Arabidopsis thaliana: one gene and its partners. The protein of the gene in region 2 binds, or shares a complex with, the protein of the main gene of each other region. Each region holds a gene or a part of one and is shown on either strand. Other genes may lie near its edges.

What was found.
Region 1: VEL1 (region 2) and VRN2 share a complex: the UniProt entries of both Arabidopsis thaliana proteins name them as parts of the plant homeodomain / polycomb repressive complex.
Region 3: VEL1 (region 2) and MSI1 share a complex: the UniProt entries of both Arabidopsis thaliana proteins name them as parts of the plant homeodomain / polycomb repressive complex.
Region 4: VEL1 (region 2) and SWN share a complex: the UniProt entries of both Arabidopsis thaliana proteins name them as parts of the plant homeodomain / polycomb repressive complex.

What each region holds. Positions count from the first base shown.
Region 1 is NC_003075.7:9,472,756-9,480,883, reverse strand, and holds VRN2 (VEFS-Box of polycomb protein), read right to left. Parts: upstream 4,816-8,128; 5' UTR 4,677-4,815; intron 4,344-4,676; 5' UTR 4,177-4,343; coding exon 4,051-4,176; exon of another isoform or gene 3,881-4,050; coding exon 3,825-3,880; intron 3,655-3,824; coding exon 3,587-3,654; intron 3,490-3,586; coding exon 3,437-3,489; coding exon of another isoform or gene 3,415-3,436; intron 3,220-3,414; coding exon 3,166-3,219; intron 3,083-3,165; coding exon 3,023-3,082; intron 2,941-3,022; coding exon 2,897-2,940; intron 2,799-2,896; coding exon 2,668-2,798; intron 2,505-2,667; coding exon 2,318-2,504; intron 2,201-2,317; coding exon 2,152-2,200; intron 1,957-2,151; coding exon 1,873-1,956; intron 1,776-1,872; coding exon 1,696-1,775; intron 1,578-1,695; coding exon 1,488-1,577; intron 1,400-1,487; coding exon 1,159-1,399; 3' UTR 1,006-1,158; downstream 1-1,005. Other genes in the region: AT4G16850 (uncharacterized protein), read right to left, coding at 1-185; AT4G16840 (uncharacterized protein), read right to left, coding at 5,519-5,535, 5,724-5,970; AT4G16835 (Tetratricopeptide repeat (TPR)-like superfamily protein), read right to left, coding at 6,081-6,491, 6,562-8,121. UniProt on the Arabidopsis thaliana protein: Polycomb group (PcG) protein. Plays a central role in vernalization by maintaining repressed the homeotic gene FLC, a floral repressor, after a cold treatment.
Region 2 is NC_003075.7:14,785,414-14,793,411, forward strand, and holds VEL1 (vernalization5/VIN3-like protein), read right to left. Parts: upstream 5,089-7,998; 5' UTR 4,866-5,088; intron 4,733-4,865; 5' UTR 4,658-4,732; coding exon 4,639-4,657; intron 3,723-4,638; coding exon 3,327-3,722; intron 3,251-3,326; coding exon 2,621-3,250; intron 2,539-2,620; coding exon 1,439-2,538; 3' UTR 1,119-1,438; downstream 1-1,118. UniProt on the Arabidopsis thaliana protein: Maybe involved in both the vernalization and photoperiod pathways by regulating gene expression. Binds preferentially to dimethylated histone H3 'Lys-9' (H3K9me2).
Region 3 is NC_003076.8:23,553,200-23,559,463, reverse strand, and holds MSI1 (Transducin/WD40 repeat-like superfamily protein), read right to left. Parts: upstream 3,453-6,264; 5' UTR 3,353-3,452; coding exon 3,008-3,352; intron 2,905-3,007; coding exon 2,578-2,904; intron 2,413-2,577; coding exon 2,260-2,412; intron 2,123-2,259; coding exon 1,998-2,122; intron 1,886-1,997; coding exon 1,790-1,885; intron 1,699-1,789; coding exon 1,470-1,698; 3' UTR 1,219-1,469; downstream 1-1,218. Other genes in the region: FHIT (FRAGILE HISTIDINE TRIAD), read left to right, coding at 151-210, 293-407, 574-722, 825-923, 996-1,115; TTL (transthyretin-like protein), read left to right, coding at 3,603-3,884, 3,965-4,066, 4,152-4,308, 4,485-4,918; AT5G58210 (hydroxyproline-rich glycoprotein family protein), read right to left, coding at 5,419-5,542, 5,709-5,980, 6,073-6,264. UniProt on the Arabidopsis thaliana protein: Core histone-binding subunit that may target chromatin assembly factors, chromatin remodeling factors and histone deacetylases to their histone substrates in a manner that is regulated by nucleosomal DNA.
Region 4 is NC_003075.7:883,137-892,487, reverse strand, and holds SWN (SET domain-containing protein), read right to left. Parts: upstream 5,909-9,351; 5' UTR 5,796-5,908; coding exon 5,760-5,795; intron 5,509-5,759; coding exon 5,389-5,508; intron 5,289-5,388; coding exon 5,023-5,288; intron 4,883-5,022; coding exon 4,724-4,882; intron 4,471-4,723; coding exon 4,386-4,470; intron 4,283-4,385; coding exon 4,139-4,282; intron 4,051-4,138; coding exon 4,003-4,050; intron 3,919-4,002; coding exon 3,847-3,918; intron 3,604-3,846; coding exon 2,999-3,603; intron 2,910-2,998; coding exon 2,762-2,909; intron 2,441-2,761; coding exon 2,220-2,440; intron 2,149-2,219; coding exon 2,017-2,148; intron 1,924-2,016; coding exon 1,836-1,923; intron 1,746-1,835; coding exon 1,698-1,745; intron 1,619-1,697; coding exon 1,490-1,618; coding exon of another isoform or gene 1,411-1,489; coding exon 1,333-1,410; coding exon of another isoform or gene 1,282-1,332; exon of another isoform or gene 937-1,281; coding exon 745-936; 3' UTR 501-744; downstream 1-500. Other genes in the region: AT4G02030 (Vps51/Vps67 family (components of vesicular transport) protein), read right to left, coding at 56-226; AT4G02010 (Protein kinase superfamily protein), read right to left, coding at 7,266-7,646, 7,750-7,897, 7,980-8,223, 8,345-8,716, 9,078-9,290. UniProt on the Arabidopsis thaliana protein: Polycomb group (PcG) protein. Catalytic subunit of some PcG multiprotein complex, which methylates 'Lys-27' of histone H3, leading to transcriptional repression of the affected target genes, mainly abscisic acid (ABA) responsive elements.

The DNA of each region.
Region 1 (8,128 bases), 5.3 Mb from region 2:
CGAAAGACATGGTTTTTAAGGCGAAAGGAGGTAAGAGTTAAGGAGAGGTGTAAGGCTGCGAGAGGGATCGCTATGAAAGCAAAGATTGGTAATAAGATGTGTTTGTTTCTGAAAAGAATCATGAAAGAATCAAGGAGTGTTGTGGTGATCCGCGTGGAAGAACCAGGTCGCTTTACCTCAATCATGATTTCAAAAGGCACATAAGAACCTCCTTAAGCTTCAACCACTGTTGGGAAACTCAAAACAGAGTCGACGATATTATGCTTCTAGAGACTGTAGTCTTGTATAAGACCTGTGTAATAGTGAAAGCACCAAACTTTAAAACAGAGAACCCAAACTAGTTTAGAGAACAAACAATGTTGACCAAAATGTTAAGACTTTATCTACATAGCCCAGAGTATATAGATTTCCAACAAGTTCGAGTTACTTGAAGAAATATGAGAAATTTGATGGTATGTTTTGTCAAATTTTAAAGCAAATTATGTGATCCTTTGAACCAAAAATGTGCATTGCGAAATCAAACAATTCGAGAATCAACTAGAAGCAATGAATCCAGAACTATGTTTTATTACCTAAACCATCAATCTTTTAACAAAAACGTAAATTCCGATTTCCGATCTACTGCTAAATCCCAACTCTTACGAGAGAACGGGAATAATTATGTTAGTCAATTTTATCACTTGACTCCGATCTAGTTTGAAATCGAGACAAACCTGAAAGATTCGAAAACACTGATTGGTGGTGTCAAAGCAAAATCGAAGAAGCTTGCTGCTTGTGAGGGATTCATTGAGAAAGAACAAGTCAAAATGGGGTTTTAAGCTTAATCACTGTGTCTTAATTAATTTCTTGATTTGTTTTCAATCTATTTGCACTTAATATATATATTTTTATGTTATGTACTTGATTAATATATAACTCCTATTTACTAGAGGTCTAGAGGAGCTTTTTCTCAAGTCAAAAAGAAAAATTAAGGAAACTTATCTTATTTTTCAGTCTTTAGTTATTAAGGAGAATCCATTTTTTTAACTAAAAATGTAATCAGTTGAATACACTAACAAATAAAATCTTTGTTTGCTCCTAAACAATTTTTTTAAGAAAGAAGAATAAGTTACAATCCGATAGATCGGTATCATCTAAACCGGAGTGTTTCCTATTTAATTACTTGTCTCTGCTGTTATTGTCCTTGTTGTCAACATTGTTCTTGTTTTTTATGTCATTCGGATGATCCACAATGTTATTGTTGTTGGTGTTTGAGTCACTGGGATGATCCACACTGTTGTTGTTGTTGTTAGTGACTGAGGTATTACGGCAATTCTCGAGGATGGTATTGCAGTTGTTGATGGTGGCTGAGTCGACAAGTCCATGGTTCCATAGTTTAATCAAAAACAATCTCCAACACCTGGAATTTTTTATTTTTCTTTCAGAAAAACGAAACAAAATTGATAGTGTAGTTATGTGTCTGTATATGTTTGGTGTACTTATATTACCAGAAGAGTGATGAGTAACAGTGCAACTCTTTCTCGTAAAATCTTGAAAATACTTCACATGCCCAAGAGATATGACCATCTGCTATAACCCTGCAAACATCAATCATAATTTGAGCTCAAAGTTCCATAAGCAGAATCATTTAGACAGGTATGGAATGTAAGACATAAGGTCTTTTTGTGTGTGTTCAAGTGTAAGAGAAGTAGTTACCTTTGTTTTCTTACAAACGAGTTCCAAAGATGCATGAATTGCTTTTCATCTTTATTCACATCCACAAAGTCATCAAGCATCTGCAGCTTTTTTAAGTTTCAAAAGCCATTAGCAAGTTACATCGTATACCATTTTCTGTTGCCTACTTAATGAACGCAGAAAGAAATCATGGAATACCTGGCGATCTTCAAAATCTGCAACATCGTCATCGACTTCATCCTCGCTATCCCGATCAGACATTACTTGCTCAAGCGCCATTGGCTTGTCACAAGAAACATGCAGTTTTTGGTTAGTGGCAATAAAACGGAGACAACATGGACATAATTTTTTTGCGTTGATACATACAGAATCAAAATACAAATTTAGATGAGAACAAACCAAGTATGCTTTGATAAGATATCATCATGAGCAATTTAAAGAAAATGCCTAAGAAGTAGGTGAAGGAACTTGGATCACCTGGACTCTGTGAGAATGATAGAATTGGCGTTTCTGAAGAAGTAGGTGGCTGGAAGAAATTTTCTCGGTTAATATGGCAGTACAGTAAACACTTATCCATAATAGGAAGAACATTTGTAACAACAGGTATGGTAATTATGATGACGGGGTGTCATGATGAACAAACCTTCTAGCCTCTGATCGCTCAGCAGATAACTTTCTTGTCTTAGTAGCAGGGACCACAGCTTCGGTTGTTAATATAACTTTAGCACCAGCGTCCAGAGAAGAGTGGGCTATGGCTGGTGGAATGTTGCTAGTCATCTCAAATTGTCCAGCAAGCTCTGTTGCCTCGGGATATCCTAAACCACGGTTTCCTGTAGCATGCCATTAATTTTGTACATCAGTTCTGGTAACATTACCCTCACAAGAAGAATGCGAGGAGAAGTACAAAAACTAAACAATCAGGACATTGTATCTTCTTCTGTAAAATGAAGTTCTAAGCCACAACGAATACCACAGAAGAAGATGTGATTTTACCATCATTCAGCAGGGCAATTCCATTTTCTGTGCCATTAGCTAAACTGGGTGAATCCAACGGTAAAAAGCATACTTTAAGTCTCCTGGTGTTATTTCTGCCACCTCTTTGTCTACGCTTACGAGGTTTCGAGCTGCAAAACATTGTGGTTGGATTTATAGAGAAGTACTGACAAGAAAAGCAAGGAGTTACTGCTATTAAGGTATTTAATCAAGGGGTTCTGAGAGTTACCAGAGAGAGAAGGGCTCAAATTTATCATCATCACTTCCTTCTTCCTAGTACAAATAAGGATGGAATATAAACCAAATTTTCACCAGCTATAGGATTTCCCAATTAACCAAGTTTAAAGTAACTGACCTCAAATATGAAGGAATTAAGTTTTACAGAAACATTAACTGTCTGGTATTCTTCCAAAAGCTACAATAGGAAAGACCCTTTTTTAACTATAACCTCATTACTAACGGCATAGGCAAAACAAGAAATTCCATAAAACCACATACCTTGAACTCAAATTCAAATAAATCATGAGATGAATTCAAATGAAATTGCAGCCCCTGCATAGACACAAGACAATGGATTGTAAGCTCGAACTGGAACATGTTTTCTCAGATAAGCACACACTCAGCAGTTTAAAAAGAGCAAGAAGACAAACAACAAACACAAAAATATGTAACCAAACAGTGAAAGTATATAGCATTAAACGGCAGTAGCATTTCACAGTGTTAGATATGAAAGGCCCCGGAAGAAACCTCAGTTGTAATAGTTGCCCACCTTGAAGCTACCACATAGCATAGAGCAAAATGGACAAGAACAATCCTCCCTAACTGCGTGACAATACAGAAAAAAATAGTAAATAACAAATCATCTAGAGAAACATAGACATTGACATCGAATTTTGTCGAAGAACAGAAAAAGACTAACCTTCAGTTCTTTGTAATGTATTATTACAATCCTTATAGTTGAAAACTACCATCCCAGTAGATCTTGACCTAAGCAAAACACAATTTTGTAAAATATAAGTGTATAGCATGAACAAAGAAGAAACCATTCATTATGTCCATATCTACTCAACAAAGATAAATAGTTCATCAGCTTCCATATTAGAAGTAAGATAAATAACATATCACTGTGGCAACTACATTCAAGAAGAAACGCATACTTTCTTTTGCGCTTTGCCCCAATTTTGTAGTTCAAGCATCTTGGCAGAAACGATGGCTGCAACAACAAACAACAAGTTCAAATAACATTAGGAGACAAAAGAAGCACACACTCGCCATGAGTCAGACCATAATCAGCTTAGCAAACTCAAACTATTAGTGGGTGATCTACACAGGAGATGAAAGATTACTAAGCTAAAATGATGAGAGAGGAAGGCCAAATCATACGTTGCCTAGAGAGCGAAGGTGAAAGATGTTATATAGTCGAACAGGTTTACAATATATCAAGAGATTCTCATCAGTTGAAATCACTTCCTCCGGTGAGGATTTCGCGCGACAATTCTGCCTACACATTCTTGTTCAAATACAATCAACAACGTCCAGAGCTGATTATGAAGTTAGTGCAAACTCTGAGGCCTCCCCTAAATTAGAATTTCCCTACGTCATATTGTTCAACTCCATGCAACAATTAGAACCGCCTCTTCTGCAATATGCTTATATAGAATGTCTTGTATTGAGGCCTGTGTAATAAAGAAAGCACAAGACTTTTTAAGCAACTCAGAGAGTTCATTCAAGACATAGACAAGTTTAGACGTATTGCAAAAATGAAAACTTTATCCAATGCCACTTAGCAGAATCATCATACTTATCAAATTAAAATAAAATTATGTGATCTTTTGAACCAAATGTGTATGAAGAAATCTTAAAAAAAATTCCATCGAGATCAACGATTCCAGAACTAGAATACGATTCCGGATCTACTGCAAAATTTCAAATCTTACAATATAATTGAAACAATTAGGGTTATCAATTGTTATTACTTGACTCCGATTTAATTTGAGATTGAGACAAACCTGAAAGCTGCGAAAACACCGATTGGCCGTGTAAGAGAGAGAGCAAGCAAAATTGAAGAAGCTTGATTGGGAGATATTCACTGAGAAAGAAAACAAGTAAAAATAAAACTTTGGGTTTCAAGTTTTTCTTCAAGTCTGGGCCTATGGCCCATATTTTAAACCGATAACCATTTAACACGTATTATTATTAGTCAATAAATAGTTGAACTTTTTTTTTAATTAATAAAATGAAAAGAAAATACAAGCAACTTGGACAGCTTAATGCCTTAATCCACTAATATTTCTAAAATTGTTTTTTTAACTCTACCATGGCAGTACAGTGAGTATTAGAGGATTTAAAACCATATTCACCATTGATCTATGCGTGGAGGATGAAGAAATTAAGAATCATTGATCTATACTTTTCACACTAAGAATAGAATCTTCATGACCTTCAATTTTGATTTCCATTTGTGTTTTACATAAATAGTCAGAGTTTAAAATAAATTACTGAATATGTATTTTGATTCCATTGTTTAACTCTAGTTGAGTTGGCTAGCTGAAACTCACAGGAACATATAATCCTAAGGTGGCATTAAGTTGAAACTAATCTTTTTTTCGACCAATAGAATGATTAATGGATAACCATCAGTGTTTTCTACTTGAGTTGTGTGATGTATATCACTGAAATATTAAACATACATTTCATGAAAACGAGAGATCCTTTTGTGTGTCTACAGAACCAAAAATTACAAATACGAATGGTTTGCGGCACAAAATCACCGGCGGTAAAAGAATTGTTTCCTTTCCCAAAACTGAATATGAGTTCCCATGGAGACAAGACAACATGTTGCTTTTGGAACTCAACTCCTTAACGCTGCTGACAAATTCCAAATCCATCACCGATTTAGTATTATATGAACAAATTGAAACCATAATTCAACACAAGATTCTAACGTTGCAGAGACATCTCGATCCTCATATCCATATGAGTCTTTGTAAAATCCCTAATTAAGTTTCACAGATCAATTATGGATTCATAGAGATTGAAACAATTTCTCGGCTTACCTGAGTAAGAGGAGAGCCAGAGGATTGCGACACAGAGAAGAAGAATGAGAGGAATCAAATGGATGACGTTTTCTGAAAATCTGAATCTTGATTTCTCTCTCTTCCCCGCTTGAGAATTCGGATCGTACCTAGGCAAAAGCAGCTCCACATCATCTTCCATTGCTGTAACACTCTGAGATCGAGGCGGAGACCTTGAAGTCGCCGGAAAATGATCCAAAACTCTAGAACCACTCGCTGATCTACGCATCTCTCTTCTTAACGGCAACTTGTCAAGTCAAAGGTCGAAACTTTACCACACAATAACGCATATAAATACAGTCAGGTTTGACCAATGAGAGAGTCAAAGCTCTTCTCTTTTCACCAGTAATCGCCACAAGAGCAAGACCCATCTTTGAAATGGTGAAACCTTGTGGTGTCTCTTACAATGATCTCTCGTTTCTCTATCTCCGAGATAAATTTGATTGCTTTATGACAATCACCACAGATTCTCAAGTTCTTGAACACTTGTATCTGTGAACCTTGAGGGAGTTTTATGCAACCAAATGCAACAGCTAACTTCTCGCTGTGCCATAACAATAGCTTCTCTTTTTGCTCTTCCTCTACATTGTGTAAAGCAAACTCTAGTTCCGGTTTGTATCCAGCTAGTTTCATCTTCTTCTCCAACTCCTTCAGTTTCTTGTGTATTGAGTCTAGTTCAGGGTGAATCCGATCACTTGATCTGAAATGGTGAACTTTGTTTCGTATTTCGATCCAACTGTATCCAGGTACCTGAAACAGTCAAGTAAATACATTAGAGTCTTGTAACTCGAATAAAGAATCGAACTTTGACTCGCTCTACCTTCACAACATTGCTCTCTTTCATTCTCTTGCGAACCCTTGCAACGTCTTCCCAACGATTCTTCGATGCGTAGATATTCGCAAGCTGCACATACCCGGCTGCATTTTGCGAGTTTAGCTGAAGCAGTTTCTCAGCTGCAAATTCAGCCAATTCCACATTCTTGTGCACTCTACAAGCCCCTAAGAGCGTCCCAAAGACCGCAGCATGAGGTCTAAACGGCATTGATCTTATCAGTTTCAATGCCTCCTCCAGCTTCCCAGCCCGACCCAAAAGATCAACCATACACGTGTAATGATCAGGCTGCGGTTCTACCTTATAATCTCTCACCATCGATTCGAAATATGCCATCCCAATATTCACTAGTCCAGCATGGTTACAGGCCAGTAAAACCGCAACAAACGTTATCCAATCCGGTCTGATCTTGTTATCTATCATCTCACGGAACAAACACAGAGCCTTATCCGCATTACCGTGCTGAGCATACCCGGAAATCATTGCGTTCCACGCCACAACATCTTTCTTCTTCATCACCTCAAAGAGCTTCCAAGCATCACCAAGTTCTCCACATTTGCAGTACATACTGATCAGAGACGTCAATGCTGTTACATCATTACACAATGTAGATTTACTCACTATCTGATGTATTTGCCTCCCTAATTGTAACGCCGATAATTCACTGCATCCGAGCAATGCGCTGCTTAGTCCAGACGAGTTAGGCCTAATTCCTTCCTCAAGCATAGCTCTGAAAAGCTTCAATCCATCTTCTGGCCTAGAATTTTCAACATAACCAGAGATCATAGCATTCCAAGTTACAAGATTTTTATTCACTGTCATGTCTTTGAACATTGCCTCAGCTAATTCAACCTTCTTGGCTTTCATGTACCCTGTGATCATCGCCGTCCAAGCCACGACGCCTCTAACTGGAGCCACTTTGAAGAAATGTGATGCCTTTTCCAAATCTCCGCATTCAATGTATCCAGAGATCATGGCATTCCAAGAAACTTCATTCTTCTCCATCATGGAGTAGAACAATTCCCGCGCTTTCTCCATTTCACCTCTTCGTGCATACCCTGTGATCATCGTGTTCCATGACGCCGCATCCTTGAATGGCATCCGATCGAAGAAGCTCTGTGCCTTCTCGAAGTTAACATTACGAACGTAGCAAGACAACATAATGTTATAAGAGAAAGTATCTGGTTCAGGGATTTCGTCGAACAGTTGGTGTGCTTCCATCATTCTGCTTGGATCTTTAGAAATCCCAATGAGCAGAGAATTCCAGGTAATGGTGTTCTTAGCTCTCATTCCGTGAAACACTCTAAGAGCTCCATCTATATCTCCTGAACGTACACACCTAGCTATTATCTTGTTCAACGGAAAAATCTGGTCTTGATCAGAAGGTTTAGTCAAGTAATCGGAACGAACCAGAGATGGCTCTGGCGATGAACAAGAGGAAGACGAACATGATTCCACCAAAATGGTATCTGGGTTTCCAATGGAACGCAAAAAGAATCGAAATTTACAGCGTTTAAATGGCTGATGAATGTTGAAGCGAGAAAGCATTTTACAT
Region 2 (7,998 bases):
TAAAAAAACTATGGGTTGAGTATATATATTACTCTTTGTTTTCTTGTTGTTCTTGCTAAAGATTCGCTGAAATCATAAAATATTTTCAAAGGTTTCTAAGAGAGGAATAATCGTAACATGCCTTTGTCCATTTTTTCCAACATTCAATGGACCAGCTTTCTTCTTCTTCTTTTTCTTTCGCTTTCATGTGCCTTTTCTTTTTCTACCCCATGATTTGGTAAAAAGAAATATTATGTGCACACTTCTATTCATGGTACAACAAGTTGGATACTTGGAATCATTATTTCCTTCCTTACTGTTGATTCAAGTTGTTGTATATAGTGTATATATGTACCAACTACCAAGTTTCTTAAGTCAATAGAAACAAGTGAACAAGAAATTCTCAACATGTTAGGCCCATAAGGGTCTCCAATCATTTGCCCAAAAGCACATAGATATTATTGGGCTGTTAGGCCCATAAGGGTCTCCAAACAATTTGAGAATAAGCTTGAAACATCCTCAGATACACTGCAGGAAGAAACTAATAGTGTAGTGGTTATTGCAAATCACACATCCGATGTTGTTTGTTGGGTTTGGAAATCTGGATGTAGTGTTGCATTGCAGGTTACTATATGTCAGAGGTATTTGGTTCAACACACTTGAGATCAAACCTCATAATTTGTACTTAGTCTGTGGTTCGTCTAGTTTAGGATAGTAGAGAGTAGACATGTAGAGTGATTGTTGCAAACCACCCGAACGCTGGAGAAAGTCACTATCGTGCTTCTAAGATCAATGAAGCCAAAGAGATGATGCTTGGAAAATTCAACACAACACTAGTTCTGCTTTTTGACATCTGTTTGATACGAACCCCAATAAAACTATATATATACTTTCATTGCTTGTTGTTATGAATGTACGTATACAAACAAACAAATGTGATGTATATATTAGAGAAAACAAACAAAGTGTCTCTGCAACCTCTTTGTGCTTAAATCAACTAATGGAACCCATAATCAAACCAAAAACCTTTATGTGATGATGAATGACGATGACGTATTAGTTTGTTGCATTTGTTACTGCAGTTTTCGAATTCCAATAAAGTTGGATAGCTTTATTTACAAAATATAAAGTTTAAACAAATTTAATTTCGAAAGAACTTAAAATCTTCACTGTTCTCACAGCTTCATACAAAGAAATGGTCATTTTCATAACCTACTTGATAAAATAACATAATCCAATAGTCAACGAAATAAGAATAATTCAGTCTAGGACTAATTACTAAATTATAAATGGAATCAAATCCACTAAAAATAAATAAATAATCCGACAAAGACGATCTATTCGATAGCAACAGTACTACTGTTCTTGCATGGAAATGTTCCAATAATGCAAATTTCCCAATAATTAGAATAACGTTTTGAAAATGACTTGAAAAAAACAGAGCACAAGTTCCCATTCTCTAATGCCACAACTTCATACAGAATCCAGATGGAACAACTGCAGACGCACCGCTACCACCAACCGCAGAACGCTTTATCGAAACACGGTCGTCGAAAGTATCAATGAGCTGCTCAGCCAAAGCCATGGGATCATCAATAAATGTATCAATGAATATCTTCACAACTCTAATCTCTTGTGACGTTGCTCTCAAGCTATACCAAGTCAGAAACTTCTGTCTGAAATTCTTATCGATATGTCCTGAACACTCGAGTTGTCTTATGATCTTCACACAATGCTCTAATCCACTTTCTGTTCCTCCATTCGCTGAATGATCACCGTTGTTACAGTTGTCTTTCATCGATATTTCGATTCTAGCTTGACGGTTCTTGATTTCATCTGACCTGAAGGGAGTAATTGGCAAACTCGCATCTGAACTGTTTCGATTACCAACAAGACTTTTCGTAGTAACCACGACTGGAGTTTCAGATTCCGTCTTATCCAGAACAGCTTCTTGTTCTTCATCATCCAACAACACAATCTGCTCAACGTCCTTCTCAATCTGTACAATGTCTGAGTCGGTTGTCCTCTTCATCCTTTTCGCAGCACTTTCATCGACTGAAGGAGAATTGTTGTCTTCGTTCTTTGAAGATGGCTTCTTTGGGACAATGTAATCGTTGTTGGACTCAGCTTCAACAGAAGAAGGATTAGAAGACAATGTGCTGCAATTTGTGAGAGGGCTTACGCTTCTTTCCACTGCCGAAGAGCAATTCGCTCCTTCTTCAGCGCTACGTGTCAAAACATTGATTTCATCAACGCCCATTTCTCTGGTTCCACTATAGGACACAACTTTGAAGCAGTACTCAGAAGCTGGAGCTAATCCAGAGACAACAAATCTTGTGTTTGGAATAAACAATGTGCAAGTCGATTTCTCCGGGTAATCTTTTTCTGGTACCTTACGATGCCAAATACTGTAGTGAACGATGTTTGGAGGTGAGGGAATTTCATTAGAGGCGAGAACCACTGTAAGTGAAGTCGCGTTTACATCCTCGAACCTGATCTTGGTTGATCCTGTGGTTGCTGTATCTGCAGATATCTCATTGCTCAATACATAAGAACAATCTACGAAACAAAATCAGAGAATCAACATTATTCAACAAACTTAATATATTACTCAATCATTGAAGGGTACAAAAGTTCTGACCTTGCTGCATCTTGGAGCTGCGAGGTGAAGGTAATGCAGCAACATCAGGAGGTGTAGTTGCTATAGTTTCAAGAGATTCAAGAGCAGAAGAGCAAAGTTTCTGCACATCGGGTCCCGAATGAAGTCTGTTTACAATTCCTCTACCCATTTTCATAGGAAGACCAGTGAGAGGACCCACATCAGCTTCAAGAGTCTTGACAGCTTCATCCACAACCTCACACAGATTTCGGTATTTAGTTGAGCTCTTCAATAGTTTCTGGACTAAGAAAAGACGGTAACAAAGCACTTCTACCCTTCTGGTTTCTTTAGCAATCGTCAATTGCTTCTTCCAGCATTCAAGCAAACTGTTTGCTTTACCGCAAGAGACACAATAGAAGCAGCATCCCTCACTTTGCTTGTCTTTTCCAAGACCGGATTTTTCAGTGTTGAAAGCACATTCAAGATGACACGAGAATCCGCAAGACTCACCCTCAAATGGAGGATCTGAGCTACATGTTAACCAGAGACTAGGATCTTTGTTATCATCATACTTACGACAGATGCAACATGAACACCTTCTGCAAAACGAGTCTTCCTGTCTCAGTACAGCACGACAAGCCAAATTTTTGCAGTAGATGGTAGTACTCTCACCTGACCAAATTCTATTTCCGGGTTAGTATGTACAAAAAGGTTGATAACTTTGAACCAAAAAAAGAAGACTGTTTACCTTTAGTATTAACCGAGCTGCAGCTCCCTGAGGCATTGTTGCTTGTTACAATGTTGGTTGCTGGAATCACATACCGAGAAGGATTATCAACCTTCCTTTGTCTCTTAGTGTTTCTCTGAATAGGCAAACAATCAGAATCTCTCTTCTTCCCTTCACACTCTCCAGAGTTTTTCTCAGATACAATTTTCAAAAGGGTCTCGATGATCTTGACTTTGGTCAAACCAGTATACTTCCTTTCTTTTCCCATTTCTGCGCATAAGATCTGTAGAATCTCTTGGCGGCTCCATGCCTGCAAGACCTCAGCAGCTAGATGTGATTGCTTCGACAGTTCATAAACAAGCTGTCTCTTCTCATCAACACTCATTTCACTGCATTTCGATGAGTCACCTGCAGCTCCTGCATATAGAAGAAAAGGAAGTCAAATTATGTGAACTCAAAGTGAAGGCAATGGAGAACAACAATGTCTTAACCAGAAACACACAAAACTATCCAAGACTAATAAAAGAATGTACCAAAGAAACTTGTGTCTGATCTTCTTGTTTACCAAAACTAAGAAGAATGATTCCAAATTCAAATAAATACAAACACAAAGCTAATTTAGAATACTGAAAACTAAAACACTTTATTCATCTAAAAACAAAGATAGTTCAACAACCACCACAGGACAACAATGTTGATAAGGTTGGGTCAATAGACATCAAAGAATCAGAGAGAACCAAACAACATGACAAAGGAAAGATCAATGCTCTTCAAGATGATTCTGAAACCAAAGATCCAAAGCAAAGAATGAAAGCATGATTCTTTTAGGTAACAGAACCCACATTCATCAATCATGGAATCTTATTCTATACACAGAACAAAAGTCATATAGTCTTCTGACGCACGATTAAATTAAAAAACAGAATTCATCAAACCAATGATAGTGGAAGAAACACACACACACACATACACAGAAGAATATGAAGTTAGAACCAATCAACCAAAAAAAAAGTAAAGACCCACCATTTAGAATAATCACCAATTAGAAAACATAAAACTTGCAATAGAAAATAGAAAGATTAGTAATCTAAACTCAGTAGCAACTTAGTAAAAAGTATATAAAGTCTCCAACTTTCGAAAACAATTGAATAAAATAAACACAAATTTGAGAATCCAAAGCTTCATCATTCATCATCAAAGCTAAAAACAAAGAGAAGTAAGACTATTTATTTATTTTTGAAAGTTGAAACATTATTATAGGGAAAAACAAAGAGACACGGATATCGATAAATCTTAAGCAACCAATGAAACCCAGAAATCTAAAAGTGAATACCATCGAGAGAAGAATCCATGAGCGTAGAGAAGCTGTGTGTGAAGAACTAATCAAACCCACATTATCATAACAACCACTCAGAATCTTCAAATCTCTGCGATGTGAAGAAAACATAAAAATTAGGTAAAACAATGGAAAAAAATAAAAACTTTTATTTGGGAGTGAAATAATAAAACAGAGGAGAGAGAGAGAGATCGGGAAAAAAGTATAAAAGGAAAGAAAGTTACCCAATAAGGAAAGCTTAAGAAAAATTCGTCGAGCAACGAAGAGATTGAATCGGACGTTTTTTTTTTCCTCTCTCCCTCTTCGGAGAAATTCCCGGAGAACGGAATACACCGGAGAAGAGAGAGAGAGAGAGAGAGAGAGAGAGATTCGCTGTGAGCGGAGAAGAGATAGAGAGAGATAGAGATTGTCGCTGTGAGATAGGAAGAGAGAAAGAGAAAGAAGATGGGTCTATGGAAGAGAGAGAGGCCTATAAGAGATGCAGTTTTCTGGTGGGCCCCCAAAAAGGGTAAAAAAGAGTTTATTTTAATTTTTTACCCTTTTTTTATGTTCACGTTATTTCTGTGATTTTGGTTTCGTAACGTTCGTAATTTTCTGTGTGTTTAAATTTTATTTTACTTTTTTGAGATTGATTAGTAAATTCTTCTTCTTTTTACAGTTTGAATTGTTTTATAGTAGAAAGTGAAATATAAGATGGTCAATTATATCATGTTTCAGTTTCATATATAGGAACTTTTCAATTTTAAGGAAATTTCAAAGTTTAAAAGGAATTGTTTTCGTGAGAGTTAAGAAAATATTAAAAGAGGATTCGTGAGAGTTAAGAAAAGAAAGTAAATTGAGAAGATATATGCTCCTAATAAAACAAAGAGGATTTCTACTTCCTACGAGTCACTCACGTATATAAAATAGGTATGCAATTGATATTATTTCATATTGTATAATTATGTGACACTTATCTCATCTTAATTTGTTTATTTTGGAATAAGCATGTTGCGTAATAACACGTGTTAGATAGACATTGGCAAATTTGTATACGTGTGTGTTACGGGAGCATTGGCTATCATCACAAACGGGAAAAACTTGGATTTGAAGGGTATAAAACGACATGTGCCTAACACAGTACACCTGCAAAAACATTGTAGCAAATTTTTTTTTAAAAACATATATTAGTGGTAATTGATAATTTGACCTTTATTTATCAATACAGAAATATTGTTTTTCGAAAATTATTTGGATCACAAGTAGTCTTAGGTAGATATGGATAAACATGTTGGATTCTTTTGGAGTTTTGGGTCTAGTTTAGCTTAAATTAATAATATTCGAGAACGCATATCGAACTTATATAAGAATAATCTGACCGTTAATAGCACACCTAATCTGTTTTTCTAGGTTTCTTGTCAACTGTGAAGACGCAGATTTCTATTTCTAGCTATCACGAAGAGTTCAAGAGTTTCAAGTACTGTATCTGTAGTTTATTTCTCGTTTATGTTTTGTTTATTGTCTAAAAGTTCTACATCTCTTAATTAATTTGTATTTACATCGGTTAACAATCGTGTACCCATAATTTTTATTATGCCAAAATATGTTACGTCAGACGAACTGTTTCTAGTATACAGATATGGTCACATGAATCAAGGTACTGGACATGAAACTTACGATCTAAATATGTAATATATGGTACGTTAGACTTAGCGATTAGTAAAGACGATAAATGAAACACATATAATTAGCAACAGCTAGCATATGAAGATAAGTAAAGTACATGGTCATGCTTCTTTCGTATCGTTTAATTTGTTGTTATTGAATCTCCACCTAACCTAGTTAGCAATCATCTATAGCTATGCCATAGTAAAAGCTAGCTAATATTAGTACGGATAACATACATGTTTATATTGAAAAAGTGAGGTTTATAATTTTTCAAATTAACAGCTCTTAAGATTCAAAATAATGACAAATATGTTATGTCTAAAAAATTGTTTGATCCTACGTACGTGTAAGCCAAAAATCCCGTTGACTTTTCATTGACATGTTTAATCGGTGTAGCCAAAATCAAAGCGTCCAAGAATTTTAGATCAATTTTTTTATGTTCGGTGTGCACAGTCGTAAGTCGTAACAACCATTTTTGGCTACTTTACATCCAAAGCATTATGTAGTAGTGCGAAATATACGATCGAAATAGGTCTTACTTTGATGATAATAAATTTTACATAAATGAATATATGTAACACCATCATCTGTATTGGTGGGATGATTGAATGAATATTTTTTATGCGGAAGTCGTGCATGGTACATTGTTACGAGCTGTATTTGACAAAGAATCCTATATATGTATGCAAAAAAAACTGTTAGACTTAATGGTGGAAGTATTGAATAATGTGGACTGGCAAGTGGCAACATACCATATATATAAAAGAATATTAAACTATAACAATTTTAATGTTATCATCTCATGTGGTCCCTAAAGGGGTTGTGAATTGTGATGGCATTACCAACAAAAAAAGAAAAACAAATCATGAATCATTGCATGGGGTAAGTACGAAAAGTGTGATAAAAAAATCTCATTCACATATATTTCATAATATTTTGTCTTTGAGCAAACTATATAACATTAGTTTCAAGAAATAAAGCATTGGTCGTGAATAGTATTTATTTTACTTTTCGAGGGACTATGGATGATGAGATCAAAAACTCAGAATGCTAATTAAGTTTGTAAAAACAAATATCAAGATCAAATTTGGTCATGCCATAGCCCTTTTTAGACTCGTCAAAACATGTCATTTTATTTTATTTTGTATTTCGTGGTTAGTTGCAGATTAAACAAGGTTGCAAAAAGTAGTGAATATAGTCTAGTGGTTTCGTCATATCGAAGTCGGGAGGTGTGAAATTGTTTCTAGTGGATACGCACACCTGACTTAATTATTATATATGTTTTCTGTCATATATTTCATAAAAGTGGCCTGAGTTTTGGCATAACACGCTAAACAATTTATTTTACGTCGGCAGAAACTTGAAAGCGGAGAGTTTGGTTGTTCGAAGAAGAGTGTATAAACTATACAACAAATTCTTCAGCATAATAATTGAATCTTCATCACAAAAAGGTGCTTGATTACACTTGTAATTGGGTACATATATGGTCCATCCGATCAACATAATTATGTCCTTTGTGGCACTTTTATCAGTTTATGGCATTTAAAAAAAAAAAACGCACCAACCGAAAAATGTCATACTATTAATAAATATATATTTAAGAATTAAAAGTCACGAGTTCTATAGCAAAACTATCGTGAATTCTTAGTCATCTTTAGCTTATTGCTTTTGGACAACAAATCCACTTATGTTATGACACATACACACACA
Region 3 (6,264 bases), on a different chromosome or scaffold from region 2:
TCCCTTTCTCAACTCAATTTTTAATTGATTTTAATGTTATTTGGGCTTCAGTAATGGCCCAATAAGGTGTTATGGGTTTCTTCAAGCCCGTAAGAAAGAAAAGGGAAAGGCGTTAACTGTGACTTTCATGGCGACGGAGGCGGAGCTGAGATGCTGAACCTGCAAGTAACCGGGAAGACGATCTTATCTAGTATTCGTTGTCAGAGAAAGGTAAGTTCCTTATACGATCCAACATTTTGTCTCTACTTTACAAGTTAGAAGGATTGATTTTTGAGTGTTTTGATTGCTGCAGATGTCGTCTACTTGTTCTTCGTACGCATTTGGGCCGTACAAAATCGATCCCCGTGAAGTGTTCTACGCAACGCCTCTCTCTTATGCCATGGTTAATCTCCGTCCGCTTCTTCCTGGTATGCCTCATTCCTCTCTAATTATTCATCGAACCTCTTCAACTTTCTTCTGACCTTCTTTTTCATCTATTTTTTGCAGGTCATATCCTTCTTTTTTTTGTGTGTTCTTCATTTTTCGGTTTTGTTTTGTAAATTGAGTTCTATTGGATGACTTTAACCAGACGAGCACATGTTCTTGTCTGCCCGAGACGCCTTGTGCCACGATTTACTGATCTTACAGCTGATGAGACCAGTGACCTGTGGCTTACTGCTCAGAAGGTTGGCTCTAAGCTTGAGACCTTCCATAATGCGTCTTCTCTCACATTAGCCATCCAAGTAAACTAAACATCTCCTTTCTTTCGTCATTGTTTCTTGCGTCTAAATCTTAATGGATTGGAATTGAAACGATCTAACTTTGGTTTCATGAAAATGGCTTAGGATGGCCCTCAAGCGGGACAGACTGTTCCCCATGTACACATTCATATCTTGCCTCGTAAAGGTGGTGACTTTGAGAAGAATGATGAAATCTATGATGCTGTAAGTTGTTGCATTTTGATCACATTCCTAGCTTTGGTTTTATACAAATCTTATGGTGGTATCTTCTTGTAGCTTGATGAGAAGGAGAAGGAACTGAAGCAGAAGCTTGATCTAGATAAAGACCGGGTTGATAGGAGCATTCAGGAGATGGCTGACGAGGCTTCCCAATACAGATCTCTTTTCGATTGCTAGTTATCATTTATCAATATCAAATCAAACCAAGCTATCCAGTAGCTTTAATAAGGACCATTGTGACAAGTGACTTTCAGTTTGAAATTTTATGTCAGAGACTTTGATTCAAATTTGTAATTTCTTTCTAATGTCGCCCAATCTGGGTATAAACTAAGAGTTATAGCTTTGGTTGACACTACTTAGTGAGATTAGAATCAACTCCTTCATGTTATAAAGAAAAATTCCCACTTGCTACCATCCTCTCATGCCTCATTTTACACAATGAACACTAAATACTTGAACTAAACAATAGCAGAGATGTATAAATAAATACTGTCCCATAAGATCAGTGCGCTTTGGATACTAAATAACAAGCTAAGAAGCTTTTGATGGTTCTTCCCCTGGAGCGTCATCCTCATCATGATAGATGTTTTCAGCCATTTGCCATATTTGGAGTATGTTGTCCTCAGCAACACTGGAAATAACCCAATCTTCACAAGGGTTCCACGAGAAATCTGAAATTTTGCTAGTGTGACCACCGTGAATAAACAGCAGCTCAGGTGGGCCGTCTTCTGCGTCCTCCACTGTCTGTTCCTCATCGATCCTATCATAAGACACCCTCAAACATATCAATATTGCTCCTCCATGACCATACATGAACATTAAACTAAAGAACTAAAGTCTACGGCCCAAACCTGCTAAGGTCCCAAACCATAAGTCTTCTACCAAGGCAACATGAAGCTAAAATAGTCTCGTTCTTTGGGTTCCAACCAACTTGAAAAACCTCCTCTCTGGAGATCAAGCACATAATTAAGGTTAGTGATGTTGCTGTAACTTGTAAATACTTCTTAGTAACACAAAATCCATCTCAAAGCGGCAATATTTATGGCGTATCATTCTTACTTGTGGCTATCAAATGTGTGAAGAGCGGTGCTTAGCTTCCGTAGATCGAATAATTTAACAGTCTTGTCAGTTGATCCTGTTGCCACAACCCACTCATTAAATGGATTGAAGGCTAAGCAGTTAACCTAAGGCATTTCAAACAACTCAACAATTAGCAAATACATACGAGGCAATATGATTCAATGGTTTTTAGTGTTAAGGAAAGCAAGCTTAAAAACCAGAAGTATTATCTGTATCTAAAGCTAATATATTGCAAACTCACCTCCATCGAATGAGCAACCACAGACTGTACTGGTTTACTGGCAGATGGAGAACGCAGATCCCATATGAGAAGGTATTGGTCATCTCCAACTGATCCAAACAGGTACTCATGTCTCAGATGCCATGCAACATCTTCCACAACCCCTTCATGAGCCTTAAGTTCAGAAAATAATCATCAGCAAGGAAAACACAGAAACCAACCTGAATATCTATCTATGAGCTTTCATAAGTGTAACTGATTCCGTTAAGTGGGTGCAATTCCTTCCTTTCTAGATGATACAAAACAAAACTAAAAACGAATAGAAATCCAAAGCATTACCTTAAAAATCTGCTGAGCGTCCAGAGATTTGTTTTTAGGAGTAGCGTTAATATCCCACAAGCAGATCTGAGCATCATCAGAGCCACTAAGCAAATGACCCTGCTTGAACTTACTCCAAGAGAGACCATATCCCTCAGAGCTGTGACCTCTAAGCTTTAAATCAGGATTACAAGCCCCATCAAGAGGAGGCTTAGATGGATGCTTACTGTAATCGAAAACATAGACCTCCGCATTAACTGTCTTGGTAGCAATTATGAAAGGGTTTTGAGGCATATAGCGAGCTCGATTAACCTCACCATCATGATTTATCTGCTGGATAATTTGTACCTACACAAGCAATCAAACTAACATTTATCATCCTTTACCTCGTTATAACCCTAGAATCAAATCTAGAAAGTTGGAAATGAGAAACAAAAATAAAAAATCGCACCTTTCCAGTTGCACAGCCAAAGCCACCAAATTCAGAGCGGTCATCATCGTACTGACGAGCTTCACTCTCGGTATCGTCAAGAGGAAGCTGAACTTGGGCTAGCATCAAGTAATTGGGCTCGCTCTCGGAGGTATGGGTACCGAGAATCATCTTCTGAACGGAGTAGTCTTTACCGGAAGGTTCTTCACGGTCAGGAAGCCATTCAACAGTAAGTGAAGGCCACTCGAGAGCGTGAGTAATAACGAGATCGTAGAGGAAAGGAGTGTTCTTCTTCCAGATCTTGTACTCTTCATTGATTAGTCGCTCCTCGATCTCACCTCGCATTTCCTCTTCGTCTTTCCCCATATCGGCGATGTCTTTGTTATTCCCGCCACAAGAACAAGGCAAAACCCTAAAACAGATCTCTTTACAAATTGTAAGAAACTTCTCGCTTCTGTTTCTGAATAATTCACATATAGAAGATGATGAATAAAAAAAGGAAGAAGATAAAGAAAAGGCCCATTTTTGAAAAGCCCGTTTATGAAAAGGCCCAATTAGATGACTTTTGATCTTACACCAGTCAACAGAAGTGAGGATTGGAGAAAAGAGAGAAAAAATGGCGATGGAGATCGGAGAAGATGAATGGAAGGTTTGCTGTGGAAGCTCCGAATTCGCGAAGCAGATGTCTACGTCTGGACCGTTAACTTCTCAAGAAGCAATATATACTGCAAGAGACATCTGGTTCAACCAAGTTAATGTGACAGATTGGCTTGAAGCTTTCTCTGCTCATCCTCAGATTGGGAATACTCCTTCACCTTCTATCAACTCCGATTTTGCTCGTCGGAGCGTATCAGAACAGTCAACCGCCTTTGCCACAACTTCTGCTTCTGCTTTACAGGTGATGGATCTTCACTTTTTTTTTCCTTCATCTCTTCAGTGATTTCTTCTTCTGATGATCAATTGTTTTCAATTTCTTAGGAGCTTGCCGAATGGAATGTACTTTACAAAAAGAAGTTTGGCTTTATCTTCATTATTTGCGCTTCTGGCAGGACTCACGCTGAGATGCTCCATGCGTTAAAGGTCAACTTTTGCATTTCCAAATCAGTTTTTGTTGAGTGTGAGTGAATGAGAAAGTTACATATTCATCAAATCGTCTCTTTTTCAGGAAAGGTATGAAAATAGGCCAATAGTGGAGCTTGAGATTGCTGCTATGGAACAAATGAAAATAACAGAGCTACGAATGGCAAAGCTGTTCTCCGATAAGGCTAAAGTTATATCAGAAACTGACAGCTCTAGCTCTCCTGTTTCAACAAAACCTCAAGGTATATTGATGATTTACCAAATCTTTTCCTTGTCAAAGTTTTGTGTTTGACTGTGTGGGTTTGAACCTGTTAGGATTCAGTATGATATCAAGTATGTGTCTTTTGGAATACAAGGATTTACCCTTATGGCTATCTTTGTTATCTGTGTGACCTTTTCTACTTTCTCGCTTTGTAAGATCGTCTGAGAATCATTGGAGGGCATTTGAATGTTGCAGCTGAAGCAAAAGCTCCCAAGAGAAGTAGGCCACCGATCACGACTCATGTCTTAGACGTCTCACGTGGTGCTCCAGCTGCAGGTGTTGAAGTGCACTTAGAAGTGTGGAGTGGTACTACCGGTCCTTCCTTTGTTCATGGAGGTGGTGGGGTCTGGTCCAGTGTGGGCACATCAGCTACTGATAGAGATGGGCGCAGTGGGCCACTGATGGATTTGGTTGACGCTTTGAATCCAGGGACATATAGGATTAGCTTCGACACTGCAAAGTATTCCCCAGGCTGCTTCTTTCCCTATGTTTCCATTGTATTTCAGGTTACAGAATCACAGAAATGGGAGCATTTCCATGTCCCACTGTTGCTTGCACCTTTTTCTTTCTCCACATACCGTGGGAGCTAGAGCTATGCTACTGCTGTCTGCGGCACCAACTTTCCAACACATTTTGTTTTGGTTGTACCACTACGGGAACATGTATCAAAATTGCTATGAAATGAAGTCTTTATTCGACATGTATAAAAATTGCTATGAAATAATGTCTATTCGAGTATTTATTTGGATTTGTAGTTCTGTAGAACAAACAATGAATTAGCGAAAATACGAGCTTTGATCTAGACTCATTGTGAGTAGGACAACGATAGTATAGATTACCATGTTAAACATCTTGGGAGATTCTATACCTTTGTACAAAATGGTCGATCACAAAACAAGCCTCTAAAACTGTTGTGTGTTTTAATCTAGACTCATAGCCAGCAGGACAATAATAGTCTAGATTAAGACATCTTGGTCGATTCCAAACCTTTGCGCAAAATGTCAAAACAAAACAGCTTCTACTGGTATACTTTACACACCTCTACCTACCCTTCCTGAGCGTGTCTAAAGCTCCCTGGCTATATCTACCCTCATCTCCAAAAGTTCGCAAATTCTTTCGCAAATGACATTATGTTGCTCCACGAACTTGACCTTTCTTTCACCTCACCAGTTTCCGTCTCTTTCACCTCACCGGCTCCTGTCTCTGAAATTTGTCTGTAAAAACAAAAGATATAAGAATTCAAACTGAAGTGGTGCCAATATGATCAACTTGAATGACTTTTTCTATTACTCAAAAACAAGAGATCCATCAATGAAGTAAATTATCCTAATATAAGGATCGGACCAGTAAAGAAGAGACCTAGTTGTATGCATTTGATACCTGGTCTCAGTAGGCACAACATCTGCTGAAACATCAGCTCCTTCAAGATGGTCTGCTTTTGACTCTTGATTGCCTAAGTGCGTCAAGTTCCTCTCTTCATCAGTCTCCGAGTTTTCTATTCCCTGAGTTGCCTCTGTTTCTCTTTTGTCATCTTTTGCAGTAATGACAAGGTTGTTGCCCTGGAAATTACTTTCATCATCAGAATTAGAGTGAGAAGTATCTATTATATCCGGCCTCTGCTCACTTCCTATCTCAATATCCACACTGCCAGCCTGTGAAACAGAAACAAGGATAACTAAGCCAATTGATAACTGAAGCCTAAGGAAATTAAACTGATCACACCAAAGCAAGATTTTTTCTTTACTTGAAACTCAGGTTCAACAACCACAGGAGAGAAGTGTGAGGAAGCATCATCTGGTACAGAGGGAGAGACTTCTGAGAGGGTTTTAGCTTCTACGATTGGCACAGGTGCTGGAGAGAAGTGTGAGGAAGTATCAGCTGGTACAGAAGGAGAGACTACTGAGAGGGCTTCTGCTTCTACGATTGGCACAGGTGC
Region 4 (9,351 bases), about 14 Mb from region 2:
TATTGACGCTTGTGTTGACGATTCACGAATATTCTGACAAGAAACGAAGACTAACCATGAGATCCATGTACTGATCAGCATCAAAGGAAGTGCTGTTGATGTTATCGAAAGAGGCGTTGATGGAGGAACCACTCGTCGAGATTGAAGGATCCGGTGCGTAGAAGCTCGACAATAGATCTCTCATTCTCTTCGCCTTTTCGTCCATCGGAGCTGCCTCCGTCGCCATTTTTCTAAACTCCTGCTTCTTCTCGACGACGAAAATATCTGTTACCGGAAGCAGAATTTTGGCGTCGGAGATTCGTAATGTGAATTGAAAAAGCAAGAAGAAACTGGATCCGACTAATCAACTGGGAAACGGATCCGTATCCGATTCGAACCGGAATACGGTTTAGCAGTCGGATTACTTTTTATGAGATTAGGCACTGGTTTAGTGTGATTGGTTCGTTCACTTATTTTAAATCAGTTTTATTCGTTGAAAAGTACATAGATTGGCTTTAGCTGTTCAAAAATCCATAAATTTGAAACTATTTTTCGAAATGATACATTTTTACTTATTGACCCCAATAATTCATAAATTGTTTTATCACCTATACAAAGTCCAAACTCGATGTCAAAATAAAATAAAATCTCAACTCTATAATAATTAATTAATAAAGACAAGCTTAAGTTATCAAACTTCAAATATCATCTCTCACAACTCTATAAGTTATTTTTATAAAAGTTACTTCTCTTAGCCAGTAATCATCAATGAGATTGGTGCTTTCTGGCTCTACGATGAGTAATGGCTGAATCATCTTTCTTGGAGCCTTCAGGTTTGCGAGCCCACACTGGTGCTTGGTCTGGTCCATATCTATAGTCATAGAAAAGCTCTTCGCTAGCTTCTATTCGTTCGTTTGCAAAAATCCCGACCCTGTGATCTCCTGCTACAAACATCACCTACACCACACAGAAAAAGACACCGTACTTATGCGGGAAGCGATGAGACCATGGTTACTACGACAATAGACTGAAAATCGCTCTTTTTTGTAAATAATTAACACCTTTCGAAAAGGGTTGAATAAATCTAGCAGATGATATACACATGTTACTTTACACATTACAATCATAAAGATTGTAGAAACAAGTGTGTTTTGATCATAACCTACAAAGCTAGATTTGATCATCTGTTTTCTATAGTGCTAATTGCGATTAGTTTCTACAAAATGTTATAATCCTAGTCCTCCTTCTAAATGGAACTTTTGAGTGGCTAGAGGTGAGAAAGAAGGTATAATTACTAACCGATCATGTGGTTTTTTCATACCAAAATGGATATGAGAGAGAAGCATTTAGTACCTTAGCGTAGCAATTGGGTTTAGCTGAGTGATTGGCAAATTTCAGCTTGTCACCTTTGCGTTGAGCATCGAGGACGTACTGCAAATATCAAAAGCTTACTGACATATGCGAAATTCAAGAGGAAACTATCAGAAAGAAGGGTGAGAGATTTGGTCACCTGATCATTCAAGTCAAAGAGGAAGGACGAATTTGCCCGGTCATATATTTTCCCACGCTTATCCGCCTCATGGTGTGAGATCAATTCACCGGTGTATTCTCCAAGGTATTCATTTTTGCTGACCGAGTTCTGATGATCAGATGAGGTTCAGATTACATACAAGAGGTATGAAACAGAAGTTAATGAGGAAGATATTCACATGCTTTACCTTTAGAAAAGCACCCCATCCAGCAACATCAGACTTTCCCAATAGGATCTGGTAAATATAGCACATGAGAAACTAGATTTATCAACAATGAATGCATTTTATTTTTAGTAAATACATGATTTGATGACAGTATTATACCCTCTGTTGTTGCCTCAGGAGAAGTCTCATGTTTCCGCATTGCCCTTCTCCGCGTCTTGGTGCTTCACCGAGAGAACCATCTCCACAACTGAGTGAATAAGCAAGGCATCTTAAGTTACTCATCAAATAGTAGATTTGATTGTATATGGCACATCAAGAGATCTAGATTTAAAATGACTACCTAACCCAGCAATTTCTGCAAACATCTGGATCACATTCTCTGCCAGCAGCAAAGCAGGGACACTGCCTACTTCTGCATTGACTCTTTGCACAATGACATCCTCGGAAACGATTTTTACAGCTTTTTGAGCACCTGAATTAAATCAATGGATGGTTATAAGAAGATCCTCTGTTACTTCAATTGACGTTAATTTGTTTGCATACCCGCAATATTTCTCGCAGCAAGTTTCATTAGTTAGACAAGGGCAATCCTTTCCGCACATTGACAGGCATCCACACGGCGTGTATTGTTTACAGGACTGGTTTTTGCCACCAGCTATTCTTTTCCAGACAGACGGATGACCAGCAGACTTTGTAGAGTATTTTAGCTTCCGGGTTTTGCCTTTTCTACGGAACAATCTTGTCCTTGGAGGCACCTCATCATTCTGTCAAGTAAAGTAAGAGAGCGGTAAACCAAAATATGATTCTGACAGACATGGCATGCTAATATCAATAAAATCTCAAATAAAATAATCACTTGTCTAAGCCAACTTATGGTCAACTATCGTTTTCTCTTGTCCAATGCAGGTATCAGGGAAAAATTAAGCAAGGAAATTGGCTTTTCCGGATCAGAACTTTTTTCTTCTGGAATAGATCTCTAACCCTATCAGTCTGACAAGCTAACTTTCAATACAACAATGCCCAAAGTCGCAGATACTGCAGAAAATTTGAAAAGACAAAAGACCCTAGGAAGATCAAGAGCTTACATCATTCCCTGGGTCAGTCCTGCCATCATCCAACAGCAAATTTGGGGTACTAGATCTTCGAAAAACTGAAACTTCGTTTTCACGCATGTAATTGGACACATCTAGGCATGTCTTCAAGCCAGAAAGCAGGTTTCTTGCAATAAGACAGCTGAGATAGCACGGACAAAACATACTAGATGTAAATACGTTATAGGTGTTCTGTGTTTAAAGATAATAATTTACCAAGATCCAGTTTACCTGTTTCTTCCAAAGATTTCGACTCCCTTCAAGTAAAGATCCTTCTCGATAGGATTCCACTCTGTAGATGGTCGACTTGTCTCAGACATTTCTGCAATGATTATTGCTCCGTTTCCACTACCATGGTGTGGCTGACAAATTGAGGAACCACCATCATGGACCGAATTGTCTGGAATAGGCTCACCTACTTCTTTTGCATCAGCTTCTGAGTCTCTGTTTACTTTATTGTCAGTTGTTCCACCTTGATCACCCTTTGTGCTATCCAATGCCTGATCTAAGCTAGGGACAGAATTAACAAATGACATTTTTGTATCTGAGGCTGCGGTCTTCTGTTTCTTGTTCGATAAATTAGGCAGATCATTGGAGTCTTTTAGAATTGGGACCTCACGCTTTCCTCTAATTCCATGCTCTTGTTCTACACCAGAGGATGAATCTACATTCTTGATACCAATATCAGTCTTCTCAACTTGCAGACTGACACCACTAGCAGCAGCATGGGGAACATCAGAGGAGACAGCCTTGCTGCATTCCTCTTCTGAAGCTTTCTCTTCTGCTTTAGATGCAAAATTACTGCATGTTTCTGGTACTTCTCTGACCGCCTTGAGCTAAAATCATTAACATAAGAATAATGGTGATTCAAACTCTGGAACCAAGAAAAATTACTGCATAAACAAGACTATGCACTAGTACAACTACAATGAAAGATCACTCCTCTAGCAAACGCATACATGCTAAACCTCAATCTAGGTCAGAGCATATATTCCATGATCTCACTAATGAATATAGTTTATTAACTACGAATATACAAATCACTCTGAGAATGTAAAGAGACAGAGAGAGAGATAGACCTGGAGGTAACAATGTTTGCTGCAGGGTTTCCTATCACCTTCATAATCAGACCAATAAGGCTGTTTTTCACTCTGTCAACCAAAGTTCTCTTGTTATGTTGTCCACTGAAACTTTAGCAATACAACTAAAGAAAGTAAAGACAAATTCAAGCTTACAGCACTAATCAAAGGCTGAGAACATCCATGCAGACGACAGTCAAATACCTGTTAGAAATAACCAAAGAAGGATTAACATGATTAACAAACACTTAATAATACATGCTCTCTCTGTCACAAAGAACAATCCAAGTACCAAGCAACGGCGGCAGAAAAGATTATCAAAAGAATCTAGAGCTGCACCAAGGCCCTTTTCCAGAGATATTCCCAGCTTGAATCCGGAATTAGAAAATTCCTCGGTATTCTGCTTATCCTTCAACTTGAGCTCATTGTATCTTTCCTGCAGCAGACAGGAAAGCCAAACATCATTAGTGAAGAAGAATAGGAAGACCAGAAAAACATCATTAGATAAACCACAAGAACAAGATGACTAAAAACTGCACCAGGATATCAGAAGCATCTACGCTTAGCAACTGGCAAAGGGCATCCTGCACTTCCTCACCCATGCCATACTCCTGCCCAATTAACCTGCCAATTCAAGTCAAACGAGGTATGAAGAAATTCATATATAGTGAGATATATTTCAAACCTAATGCTAATGAAGAGTCTTACAGAATGAAATTTGATATGAATACGAAATATGACATCTTTTTTTAGCATCAACAAATGTGATTCATTGGTTAATAAATTCCACCCAGGTACTTCTTCAAATACCAGTATCACAATTTTTCCCCATCAGAGTACATGAGAGTCCATAATTTACACTCTCTGCAAAACTAACCATATAATGGAATCTTCACCCTCGGAAAATTCACGTTTTTCCTCCTCAGGTTCTGGTTCTTCCTCACTATCGCTGCATATTAGCGTCTCACCACCATGTTGTTCATAGTAGATTTGTCTTCGACCAACCACAGACTGATCTTCAGCCATTCTTTGATTTCTGCATGGTTAAGATATTTTTTCAGAAAAGAAAAACAACACATAATATGAAAACTGAATTTGATGTTCTAGTCTATTGTTCAACTGAATTTAGAATAGCATGCTACCAACGCAAAAATGAGAACTAGAAAAGGTGCATGCCTGTCCAAAAATATCCAGGTAGTGTATGGCGGTATTCTCTCAGCAATAGGAAGCTTGACACTTGCTGATATAACATCCTTAGTAGGAACATAGTCTCTATCTCCCACACCATGAGAAAAACCATTTAACTTGCAGAGTGGCATTCTCATTCTCGAAGAAAGCATATTGCTATTTCCATTATCCTCTGCGGTAGCTCGGCTCGATGCAGCAGATGAAAAGGGAGAAACATGAGCATCCACTTTCTTTCTATTAGCCTCAAATTTCTCCTACATTCCCAGGAAAACAATCAAAAACGGATAAATGATTTCAAATTTTTTAGACATTAGTATAATTAGTAAAGAACATCAAGTATAGAAACTCTCTTACTTTAATAGACCTAACTCTTTCTCCTTGAATTTTCCTTTTAAGCTCACTTAATCTGTTTTCCAAACCCTCGAGTCTATCTTCTTCTTCTTCACCATCATCATCATCATCTACATGAGACTTCTATTCAGAAGCCCAAATCAAAACAAAAATCGTGTAAAAAACAAAAGCAACGAGGAAAAACACTAATTCTATAAGGTCCATCAACTCCAACAGTGAACAAAAGTAAGAGAGCGATTATAATTTGATGAACTCAAACGGATTTCACGAACAATCAGCTGAAAAAACGCGAATGATCATGCGCATACGAGCAAAATCAGATAATAAATCAAAAAAAAAAAAAAAAGAGGAGATTGAAAGGTAAATCTGAGTACGATTCGTCCAGAGGAGTTGCTATCGTCCGTCACCATTGATGACTCCTCGAGCTTTCCGCTTCTCTTCCGCTCGAACTTTCTCTCTCTCTCTGCTTTTTCCGCAATCAGACTTGTGAGAAGGACGAACGGAGTGTGGACTGGAAGGGGGGTTACATTACATACAAAGAACGCCACACGTGTGAATGAATAGTGCTTATACGTGTGTAATTTAATTAGTGGTTTTGCGACAATTATTTTCTATTTGTGATTATAATTGTATGTTATCTTAAAGATAACTATTACGACATGCCTGGCTCTGGAGCCGTTGAGGCTAATAATGGCTAATATTATTAACGTCAAAGTCTCTAGAGCCACACAGGTTATAGCAGTTACGTTTGAGATAAGTATTAGTTGTAAAGTAATAAACTCTGAACGTAAAAATATTAAGATATTTGTGATTATAATTGTATTTTATCTTAAAGGTAACTACTATGATTTGTGTGGCTTTAGAAACTTTGACGTTAACAATACTAGCCATTGAGGCTAAGAATATTAGCTGTAAAGTAAAAATCTCTGAGCGTAAAGATTTAAACTGTAAAGATTTTTTTTTTTTAACATATGTATGCTTCTTATAAACTTGTAAAGGGAGATACAAATATCTTTCTAACCATAATGGTGGTACAGAGAATTAATTAACTGAGCCTTTTTAGATAAGATGTCCGCAGCTGCATTTCTTTCCCAATTAACATGTGCTAAGGAAGAGAACGGAAGCTTCACCATCCAATAACGAATATCATAAAGAAGAGTGATGATCTTATTATGATCACTCTGCGTATTGATCAGATTTACTAGCTCTGCATTATCGCTCTCAAACCACACATAAGTACATAATGTAGTCCTCGGGACCAAGTCACTTGAAGGGCATGAAGAAATCCGAGAGCCTCTGCTTGAAGAGATAATTGTGACGATTGAAGTTGAGCACGCCCTGAACTAAGGAAACATCCATTGCAATCTCTGTAAATCCATCCTGAATGTATGACAGTCCTTTCCTGAACATAACCACTATCAAAAATAATAATAATAAAAACTGTGATTTTAACTAATAAGAAAGGAATTACTTTAAATATTGGTTTGATACCATAAAAATTATATTTAAAATATTAGTTTTTCAACAGATTATATTTTATTTAGATTATTCCATAAAAAAAAAGTATTATACTGTTACTTTTAGCTGTAAAAACTTTTACTGTAAAAAGCCTTTAAAAATTAACAGTACAAACTAATCACCTGTACATAGTTTTTTTATATTGGAAAAAGTATATTCAAATTCTATTTGTATATCTGATGGTTGTGGCAAATATTAATTAATTAACGCAAAAATATATACAAAATTCTATCCTCCAATAAAGGAGAATCCAAAATCCAAAGAGCTGTAATAATGTCCCAAACTCAAAAGCTTCTCTGGTGGAAATTTTCTCACCGTAAGTGGGAGAAAAACAAATAAAAAGAAGAAAACCCTGGCTTCTATCATCGGCCTTCGTGAAGATCTTCTGAGAAAACAGTTGTTCGTGTAATATTTTCATGATCAAAAGCGCTTAGACCAGAATAAGGACCAGAAGAGAACATAGAAGAGGTTACTTCTGACTCGAACGTAGCTGATGATTGTCTCCGGTTAGGACGAGCTTTATTTGAAGTGTTTAAAACCGGGTCTTGATACTCAACCACCCGTTGAACCATTTTAAGTGACTGAACCACTTCGCCCATCGTTGGTCTCTGGCTAGCTTCAGGTGCAACACAAGCTGCAGCGATTGTGCATACTCTTATGAAATCTTCTTTCGGGTATTTTCCTTCAAGTCTTGAATCGACTAGTTCTTCTAACCGGTCTTTGTCTCTTAAAACTGGCCTTGTCTGCATCCAGAATCAAATTTTTACATTCGAGACTTCAAAAGCTTAAGTTTTCGACAATGAAAGTGCAGGAAGATCTAGGAGATGACAAGAACTTTCTACTTACCCAAGTGACGAGATTTTCTTGGCCTGAAGGTTGTGACATATCCACAGGTTTTCTACCAGTTAACAATTCGAGAAGGACCACACCGTAACTATAAACATCACTCTTGACGAGTAGGTGTCCCGTCATTGCATATTCAGGCGCAACATATCTGAAAACAGATCGCGGATTCAATAGGCAACTCAGAATTTAAGGTTGTATATGAAAACTGTCGAGAGATATGAGCAACTCACCCAAATGTGCCCATAACACGAGTAGATAAGTGATTACCCCTGCCTTCAGGAGCTTGTTTGGCTAGGCCAAAATCTGCAACTTTGGCGTTGAAGTTGTTTTCAAGGAGTATATTAGAGGCTTTAAAATCTCTGTGTATAACGGAGGGTTGCGAGTCTTCATGAAGGTATGCAAGTCCTCTTGCAGCATCAAGTGCAATCTTCATTCTGGTGTCCCAATCAAGAGGACAGTTCAACCCGAGAGGCCCTGAAGCATAAACAATGACTTAAATAAACCACTCTTGTAGATGAACTCAGTGTACAATAACTACTTTTGACAATGTCAGATCTAAAAATAGGCAGCAAGGGAAGCAAAGAGGAGATATTACCATGGAGCCAAGCCTCGAGGCTGCCATTTGGAACAAGCTCATAACAAAGTAGGTGCTGAGAAGAATCTCGACTACTATAGTAACCCACAAGTTTCACAAGATTACGATGATGAAGACGGCTAAGCATATCAATCTCCACCTGGAATTCTTTATCACCTTGTGGCCCACCACTTGTGAGCTTCTTAATCGCTACAGCAGTACCATCGGCTAAGATGCCTCTGTAAACCTTGCCAAACCCACCTTCTCCTAGAATGCTAGCAGATTCAAAATTGCTAGTTGCCTCTTTGAGTTCTTCATATGACAGAAACCGTGTACTTGCTGGGTGAGGAAGAGATCCCCCAAATGAACCAGCGTCCAGGTTCCTTGGTTTTACTGAAAGAAAGGAATATGCGATCAAGTTTTTACTAAGAACAAGAACTAAAAGTTAATTGCCAGGATTTAGGAAAGTAACATAAATCACACTGGTAAGTGGACAGCAATCATTCATCATCTATGTATCCCCATTTTTCTCAATCCTTTTGTTTGATTCCTAAGGTCTGTTGGCTTTTTACATAAGGTCTGTTGACAACTAACAACACAACTTTAAACCCAATATAAAAGTTGACATTATCCCAACATCTATGCTAACTTCCCAATGTGCTGCTCACATGATGTGTACCTTTTGACATGATTCACGTATTCCTAACTGAGATCGGCCTATAATTTAAACCTTGTAATCAGAAGAGGTACATACCAGCTTCTTTGTGAGGATCTGGAGCTTTCTCTTCTCGGAGTGCGCGGGAACAAATAACAAGTACAGTGATTATGGCAAGTATAAGCACACCAGCGGCTATAGAAAAGATAAGAATAAGATTGGGATGCCTCTTTTTCCCTGGAGATCTTACTGACGTAGTTGCTGAGGATCCTTGTGATGGTGCTTTATGAGGTGAAGAAGCCACTAGAGGTGCTGCAAACATATTAAGACCTATCTTAGTGCAAATGCAAGGAATCATGGTGATATACTCCAA